Linked DNA regions of Xenopus tropicalis. The protein of the gene in region 2 binds, or shares a complex with, the protein of the main gene of each other region. Links are inferred from orthologs where the notes say so. Each region holds a gene or a part of one and is shown on either strand. Other genes may lie near its edges.

Region 1 (4,304 bases), on a different chromosome or scaffold from region 2:
ATACAAAGTGGGCTAAAGGTACCGACCCCCCCAGAACTCTTTCATAGCGGAAATTCCACTTTGTGCTGGAGGTGAAACAGCATTTATTATTGTGGGATCCGAATGGACTCGCAGACACCCGACACCCCCGGCAGGAAATGAGCGCGAGGCCTAATTGCCCCTCCATTCGGGGGGGGGGAATAACAGTTTAGGGAAGGGAATTTTGCTAAAAGTAGAAATTTTCATTGAATGCAGGAACAGTCTGTTTATAATCAGCAGATTTCCAGAGGAATCCAATACACGGGCTGTTCAGCAGCTTTACTGTCGTCTTCATTGTTTCAGGAGTCGGAACCAGCAGTGCACATCGACAGCCAGGCAGATACTAGTTTTAATAGTAAACTGAAATTCTTTTTCATTATTCTAGAAGCAGTTTTTAGTTCAGCTTTAAAGCAAATAAATACACAATAATGCAATGCGGTGAGCAAAGCGCAATTTCTGGATACAAATACGCATTTTTTTTAACCCTTAATGCAGCAGTTTCCCCACATTGTGGTGGATCATTGGTCAATAATTCAAAATGAGCGCATCTGTGTGTTTGCAAATAAGGTGCCAATTGAGTGGCGTTAAATTGTATTAATGTGATTCCGGTGGTGCAAATTGGCTACATCTGTCAGCGCCACCTGCTGGGGGAACCCTGGAATTGCAGCTCCGAGCTCCCCAGCATCTGTATTAAAGGGCAAGTAATGCCAGATTTGCATCTATTTTAGCCCAGTGCACATGGAGTTGTGTTACCAAGCGACCTTACCCCTCTGATATAGGCAAAGGGCACGACTTACTGCATGGCCAGTGTATGGGTGGGAAGAGGGTGCCCCCCAATATGTCCCTATGTACAAGGCTTTAGTGCCCAAGGAGCCCTATACTTACCCTCTGCCAGGGTATGTATGTATGTATATCTTTATAGTGCACTTGTGTCAGCTACAGAACACAGTTTGCCCTGGGCACTGCTAGTGGTACAACTGCTCCCTGTATGTGCCCCAGGGGCAACACTCCATACTGTAACCAACAGTAAATGAGCCCCATGGAATATACAGGAAAGCAAGTTGCTTGGAACTGTGTATAATGGGTAAGTGCTTGGGGCATGGATTGGCAGAGGTGCTACTGCCCCCTGGTGTTGAGGGTGGGAAGTAGAGGCAGCTGTGTAACTTATACAAGTGCCAAGGGGACAAGCAGGGAGGGATACTTGCCCTTTACACTCCCAGGAAAGCCACAGACAGGGGCAAGGGGTTGATCACCATCTGGCATTGGCATAGGAACACTGCAAATGGGTGTGTGGGGGGGTAAATATGTTGGGCACAGAAGGGTTTCAAAGCTACAGGCACCGGATTTTGGGAGAAGACTTGAGAAAGGAGGAGGGCCAGGGAGGAAGGAGGGGCAAGGCGAGGAACTGAATGGAGGAGGAGAAGCCAGAGCTGGGGGCAGTGTCAGATACACACAGAGTAGCAGGTGGTAGAGTCTGCTCCGCACACTGAGTGGCATCTGAGAAACTGGCAGCTAGGTGCCACTGAAGAGACCCCCCCCCCCCTTACACCCACAAGAAAAGAGAATTCCAGGGTTCTGACCTGCAGCTCAGCCAATAGACAGAGGATTTTACCTCCAGGGGAGAATTTAGTTTGGTTGGAGACTGGCATCCCTGTGGCACCGCGGCGCCCCCCCCGGAGGTAAGAGCATGGAGAAGAAAGGGTTAACAGTTCTTGGGTGATCCCAGTATATATATATATACATACAGAGTGGACTGTCAGCTCTGTTCCATTGCCTATTCCCCAACACAGACTGGGGGCACTGTCCCATTGCGGCCAATCAGAGAGACCGGCCAGAGTGCCCCAGACTGGCACTAAAGCCAAATGCCCCCCAATACTGTTGTGCAACTGCATCTCCCAAGCCCAGCAAGTAGCTCACACTAATTAGCTGTTTGGGTAGGAATGTCATACTTCCCCTTTAAAGTTTGTCCCATTTACAGAAAATGTCAAATGATGATAAATATTTAATAAAAAACAGGAGAAACAAACTGGTGAAATACTTTGCAGACATCAGCTTGTAATAATGTTAGTGATTCTGCCATATTTACCTTGGTGGTGCCCCCCCCCAGCCTGGCACTGTAGCCACTAAAGGGGTTTCCATGCCAGTTGCAATGAAATAGGGAAGGTCCCTTTAAATTAACTCTTAGTGTGCTGCAGGCAAGTGCTGTGTTTGTGGGTTTCTCTTCTATTCTGAATGTTTAGACTGTGTCACACAGTCTAAAAAAATCAATCAGAGGATTTTGGTTGCCAGGGTTGTTGTCCTTAACAACCAGAGAGGAAAGTAATTAGAGTGGAGAGGCAGAACAGGAAGGCAAATTGGTGCTGGGGGTGAGATAAGATGAGGATTAAGTGCAACAGGCTGAAAGCAGTTTGGCCAATGGTCTGGGCATGTGTGGTACCCCGGGGGGCAGATTGGCCAGTGGTCTGGGCATGTGTGGTACCCCCGGGGGGCAGATTGGCCAATGGTCTGGGCATGTGTGGTACCCCGGGGGGGCAGATTGGCCAATGGTCTGGGCATGTGTGGTACCCCGGGGGGGCAGATTGGCCAACTGTCTGGGCATGTGTGGTACCCCGGGGGGGGGGCAATTTGGCCAATGGTCTGGCATGTGTGGTACCCTGGAGGCAGTTTGGCCAATGGTCTGGGCATGTGTGGTACCCTGGAGGCAGTTTGGCCAATGGTCTGGGCATGTGTGGTACCCCCGGGGGGCAGATTGGCCAATGGTCTGGCATGTGTGGTACCCCGGGGGGGGCAGTTTGGCCAATGGTCTGGCATGTGTGGTACCCTGGGGGGGCAGATTGGCCAATGGTCTGGGCATGTGTGGTACCCCAGGGGGGCAGTTTGGCCAATGGTCTGGGCATGTGTGGTACCCTGGGGGCAGTTTGGCCAATGGTCTGGGCATGTGTGGTACCCCAGGGGGGCAGTTTGGCCAATGGTCTGGGCATGTGTGGTACCCTGGGGGCAGTTTGGCCAATGGTCTGGGCATGTGTGGTACCCCGGGGGGGCAGTTTGGGCCAACAGAACAAGATGTGGCTCACAATACCTGTTGGCCCGTGGGCCAGTCAGTAGGAGACCTGGGCAGTTGATATTCCCGTGCCGGGGGATTATTACGGCCAATCATTACGCGCTCAGATTCTATTCTTGGTCGATTTCTCTCGGAGGATAAAACACTTGCATGGGGGGGGGGGGCAGAAATAGCAAGGTCAGCTTCCCTGCCAAGCATTGCACCCTTGGAATCTGCCCCCCCCCCCCCGCCGGCGCTGATTGAAATATGCGAAGGACGCAGTTGCCTTATTATTTCCAGACTGGCAGCTCAGCTGTATATTTATATAGGGGCTAATAGGGAAGGGCCCCCCCAAATTCCACAGAAAAACACCGGGGAGTTTGTTTTTGTTCTTGGGGTGAGAGCTGGCGGGGGCTACCAGGAACCGGTGGTACTGGGGGGATTAAACTGTCAGATCTGTTAGGCAGAGGGGGCACTGATGTGTTACCCCCCTCCCTCCCCTGCATTCCTGCCCCCCCCATACAGCAATCATTGGTACCTCCCTGTACTTAGGGCATCACTGCTGTGTCCCCCCCCATACAGCAATCATTGGTACCTCCCTGTACTTAGGGCATCACTGCTGTGTCCCCCCCCATACAGCAATCATTGGTACCTCCCTGTACTTAGGGCATCACTGCTGTGTCCCCCCCCCCCCATAACTCCTCTGACACCTGCTAAACATCAGGAATTGCTATGAACTGAATGAACTGTATATAGAGTATCGGTATTACTGGGTTAGTACCTGAGCGGCCCATTCTCTCTCTTCCAAACCTCTCTATAAACTGATTAAAAGGAAGGAAAAGAAACCAGTTCTGCCTCCCCTTCCTATGCTGATGGTGAGATCCCCTTTCCTCCCCACCCCCAATGTATCACTCATTCCCCCTCTCTTGGTAGGGAATTCCATAACCTGACTGCCCTTACAGTAAGGAGCCCCTTCCTATGCTGATGGTGAGATCCCCTTTCTCCCCCACCACCAATGAATCACTCACTGGAAATGTTACGGAGATTTCACCATCACCATAGGAAGGGGTTCCTTACTGTAAGGGCAGTCAGGTTATGGGGTTAAGGGGATCTCACCATCAGCATAGGAAGGGGTTCCTTACTGTAAGGGCAGTCAGATTATGGGGTTAAGGGGATCTCACCATCACCATAGGAAGGGGTTCCTTACTGTAAGGGCAGTCAGGTTATGGGGTTAAGGGGATCTCAC
Region 2 (3,612 bases):
TGAAAATACTGCACATTTATAGTCCTTTTACCCTGTATGACAGTACAGGTATGGGATCCCTTATCCGGAAACCCGGTATCCAGAAAGCTCCGAATTACGGAATGCCCGTCTCCCATAGACTCCATTTTAATCAAATAATTCAGAATATTAAAACTGATTTCCCTTTTCTCTGTAATAATAAAACAGTACCTGTACTTGATCCCAACTAAGATATAATTACCCCTTATTGGGGCAGAACAGCCCTATTGGGTTTATTTCATGGTTAAATGATTCCCTTTTCTCTGTAATAATAAAACAGTACCTGTACTTGATCCCAACTAAGATATAATTACCCCTTATTGGGGGCAGAACAGTCCTATTGGGTTTATTTCATGGTTAAATGATTCCCTTTTCTCTGTAATAATAAAACAGTACCTGTACTTGATCCCAACTAAGATATAATTACCCCTTATTGGGGGCAGAACAGCCCTATTGGGTTTATTTCATGGTTAAATGATTCCCTTTTCTCTGTAATAATAAAACAGTACCTGTACTTGATCCCAACTAAGATATAATTACCCCTTATTGGGGGCAGAACAGCACTATTGGGTTTATTTAATGGTTAAATGATTCCCTTTTCTCTGTAATAATAAAACAGTACCTGTAATTGACCCCAACTAAGATATAAATAATCCTTATTGGAGGCAAAACAATCCTATTGGGTTTAATTAATGTTTTATTGATTCTTTAGTAGACTTAAGGTATGAAGATCCAAATTACAGAAAGACCCCTTATCCGGAATACCCTTGGTCCTGAGCATTCTGGATAATGGGTCCTATACCTGTATTATAATCAGCCACAGAAGTGAATACAAATGGAGCAGAGTTCTGCGAAAGCTGCACTGGTGTGTAAGTTCTACTGTGCCTCAGTTACATGAGATAGGAAAGGTAATTCGCTTGGAACACTTGCCTTGGCTGAATTTAGGGAGACAATTGCTGGCAATCCTGGTCCCAACATGTGCCAATATAAGAACTGGTCTTGTTTTACCCTAAATTTTTATGAGTCTCTACATCCAGTGAGTGTCTGTAGACTGCTCTCACCATTAAAGACTTCATGGCTCCTTTGCACTTATTTGCACTTGGGACTTTACACTTAACGTTTAGGATGACAGCGCTGTTTAATGTAGCCGGGGGGGGGAGGAACTGAGAAACATGAAAAAATCCAAAAGATGGATTCTGGTTTAGAACCTTCTCTGAAGTTCCTTGATTCTGACCATCAAGTTAAGGTGACCTTGTGAATACTGCTCAATAACATCACGCACGTCGTAGGGTTTTCTCGCTTGCTGCAAAAAAACAAAAGGGATTTCATAAGATTACGGTCTTCATCAATACTCTGATAAAATTAAATGCAATTATGGGTGATTCTGCAGCAGTTTATAGAAACCTTTCTAGGGTTGGGACACCCTAGCTCAGAAACACTGAAGTGAACATAGAAGTATAGGCCTGTCACTGGCCATAAGTGCCATAGGCGAAGTTGTGATAAAGGCTGTTTTGACCAGAGGTGGTGGGACTAGGTATCTGCCTCCATTTAAACAGATCAACACACATTTGTGAGCACAGTAGAGAATATTGTGTCTGTGCTTAGGTGCAGCCCAATGTGACATCAAGGTAAAGTTTGTCCCATCTGTATTTATAGTACTTACAAACCAGTGAAAGTGCAACTGGGAGCCCATAACTCATCTAACATAATCACCTCTTGAACATAACACTATAAGTTTTGACCCAACACACCTGGAATTTTTTCTTTGCAACAAAGTACTGCATTCGTCGGATGACTTTTATTGCGGCACGATGATGTTCTTTTAGCCTGTGAAAAAGAATAGGGTTTTTAAAGCATATATTGTGTGTTTCCTTTCGTAGACCTCTGTACCTTCATTTTTTACTTCTATATTATTTCCCTGTGGATATTGAGAAGAACAACCCTTTAGGCTTTATCATAACCTGTACAAAGATAGTTACATCGTTACAAAGGGTTGAAAAAAAGACCATCAAGAGTCCATCAATTTCAACCCTTGCAAGTAAACCTACCAATAACTTACCAATCTATACTATAAGATGCCCCCTTCAAGTCAAATGTGCAATAGTATATTCTGTTATGGATAATGGGCACTATTATTAGCCTGCCATAACCCACATTGGAGGTCTTAGGTTATGTGCAGGTTTGCCTTCCTATGTATTAAGCATTGTAAATGGTAGCAATCATTGGTAATGCCTCATGTGCAAAACTAGAGGTGTGTACATAAAAGCAAATAATTCATCCTAAGCATACAAATACAACATGGTTAAGGGACATGGCTGGATAGAGGGCCGGATATTAAGAATCTGATTATGTGGGAAAAGGGAAAGATAAGGGGGGTGCCTGGAGACAAATTTTGAATATTAGTTGAATAATAGTTATACCACCAGTTAATACAATAAGTAAAAGAATCTGCAACTGATATCCATTTTTTATTTGCCCAGTATATTTCACCCTTAAAACATAACCCGCAGCAGCTCCATGCACTAAAGTTTCTCAAATACGTGTTCCTGTATTTTGTACAAAATGAATGCAGTACTTACTCTGAGATGTGAGTAATTGGGGTGAGGAGAGTGTCCCCTTCCATGTCCAGGTCATCTGTGAAACTGCTTGTTCTGATAAAAGGTCCAGTGCCGGGGTCTAAGAATCCAAAGGGTTTTCTTACTGTAGAATTTCAAAAATATACGGCGGTTATACCTCAAAATATAGGATTGTACCCTCAAATTTTCTTTGTGCGTCACTGCAGGGTTCCCCACCAGTTATTTAGCTGTAAGCCCCACTCCTATTGTCCATCCAAAATGCTATTCCAAGTGGGGCTTATAGTGGCAACAAGCCAAACAAATCAGCCCAGACTTCCCTTGCCAATGTTGCCACCAGGCTCAGAATTAGGCATAGGCAGCAAAGGCACATGCCTAGGGTGCAACTGTAGGGGGGGCAAACCTCAACTGCCCCTAACTCTGGCCATTCACATCCAGAGGTGGAGGTGGACCAGCAAGAAGTCAATGTATTGCAGTGGGGTTGGTGGTGAGTGGAGGTGGAAGGTGGCAAGTAGGAGGTCAGGGGATTGCTTAGGGCACCCTGTTGGCCCCTCTCTGGTTGCCACAACTTTATCCAAAACAAAGTGCTTTTAAGATTGATGTTTTTCCTCATAATACAACAAGCTGAGTTCTGAATTCAACACAAGAATGAAAAATGTACCAGGGGTATCAAATGAGGACTATCATTAGCTATTTGGTAGCCCCTATGTGATCTGGAAGCCTACACAAGGCTCTGTTTGGCAACCAAAACCTGACTCCAAGCCAAGCCATACAAGAGGGTTGGTAAGCAAGCCCCTAATAAAGCACTGGTTGGGGCCTAGAGCATTGGGTACCTGCTGTACACCTTCATTCCACAACCCTCTTTTGTTTTATTGTATGTTGGTAGGTCTGAAGAACACTCCAACCTGTGGCAGGTTGCCCCCAGCCAATCAGGGATGTGCTTGATGTGAAATAGTCAAGTCAGTGTTTTGTTTCTGGTTGGGTCCATGGGAACACTGATCCTGGAATGACCACAGTAGAG

What was found. Proteins that work in one complex are often made in the same cells at the same time.
Region 1: the proteins of kcnq1 (region 2) and kcne3 are in contact, whole or in part, in a cryo-EM structure (PDB 6V01), measured with the Homo sapiens proteins. The link is inferred for Xenopus tropicalis from reciprocal best matches to the Homo sapiens genes KCNQ1 and KCNE3. Residues at the interface, in NP_000209.2 of Homo sapiens: Arg116, Pro117, Thr118, Gly119, Trp120, Cys122, Phe123, His126, Phe127, Phe130, Leu134, Leu137, Ile138, Val141, Leu142, Ile145, Gln147, Tyr148, Arg181, Met238, Val241, Asp242, Gln244, Thr247, Lys362, Asn365, Ile368; in NP_005463.1 of Homo sapiens: Asp54, Asp55, Asn56, Ser57, Tyr58, Ile61, Met65, Phe68, Ala69, Val72, Gly73, Leu75, Ile76, Leu77, Tyr79, Thr80, Arg81, Ser82, Arg83, Val85, Lys87, Asp90.

What each region holds. Positions count from the first base shown.
Region 1 is NC_030678.2:176,822,575-176,826,878, reverse strand, and holds the start of kcne3 (potassium voltage-gated channel subfamily E member 3), read left to right. Parts: upstream 1-1,404; 5' UTR 1,405-1,697; intron 1,698-4,304. UniProt on the Homo sapiens protein: Ancillary protein that functions as a regulatory subunit of the voltage-gated potassium (Kv) channel complex composed of pore-forming and potassium-conducting alpha subunits and of regulatory beta subunits.
Region 2 is NC_030680.2:25,069,571-25,073,182, reverse strand, and holds part of kcnq1 (potassium voltage-gated channel subfamily KQT member 1), read right to left. Parts: intron 2,719-3,612; coding exon 2,598-2,718; intron 1,846-2,597; coding exon 1,770-1,845; intron 1,322-1,769; coding exon 1,227-1,321; intron 1-1,226. UniProt on the Homo sapiens protein: Pore-forming subunit of the voltage-gated potassium (Kv) channel involved in the regulation of cardiomyocyte excitability and important in normal development and functions of myocardium, inner ear, stomach and colon.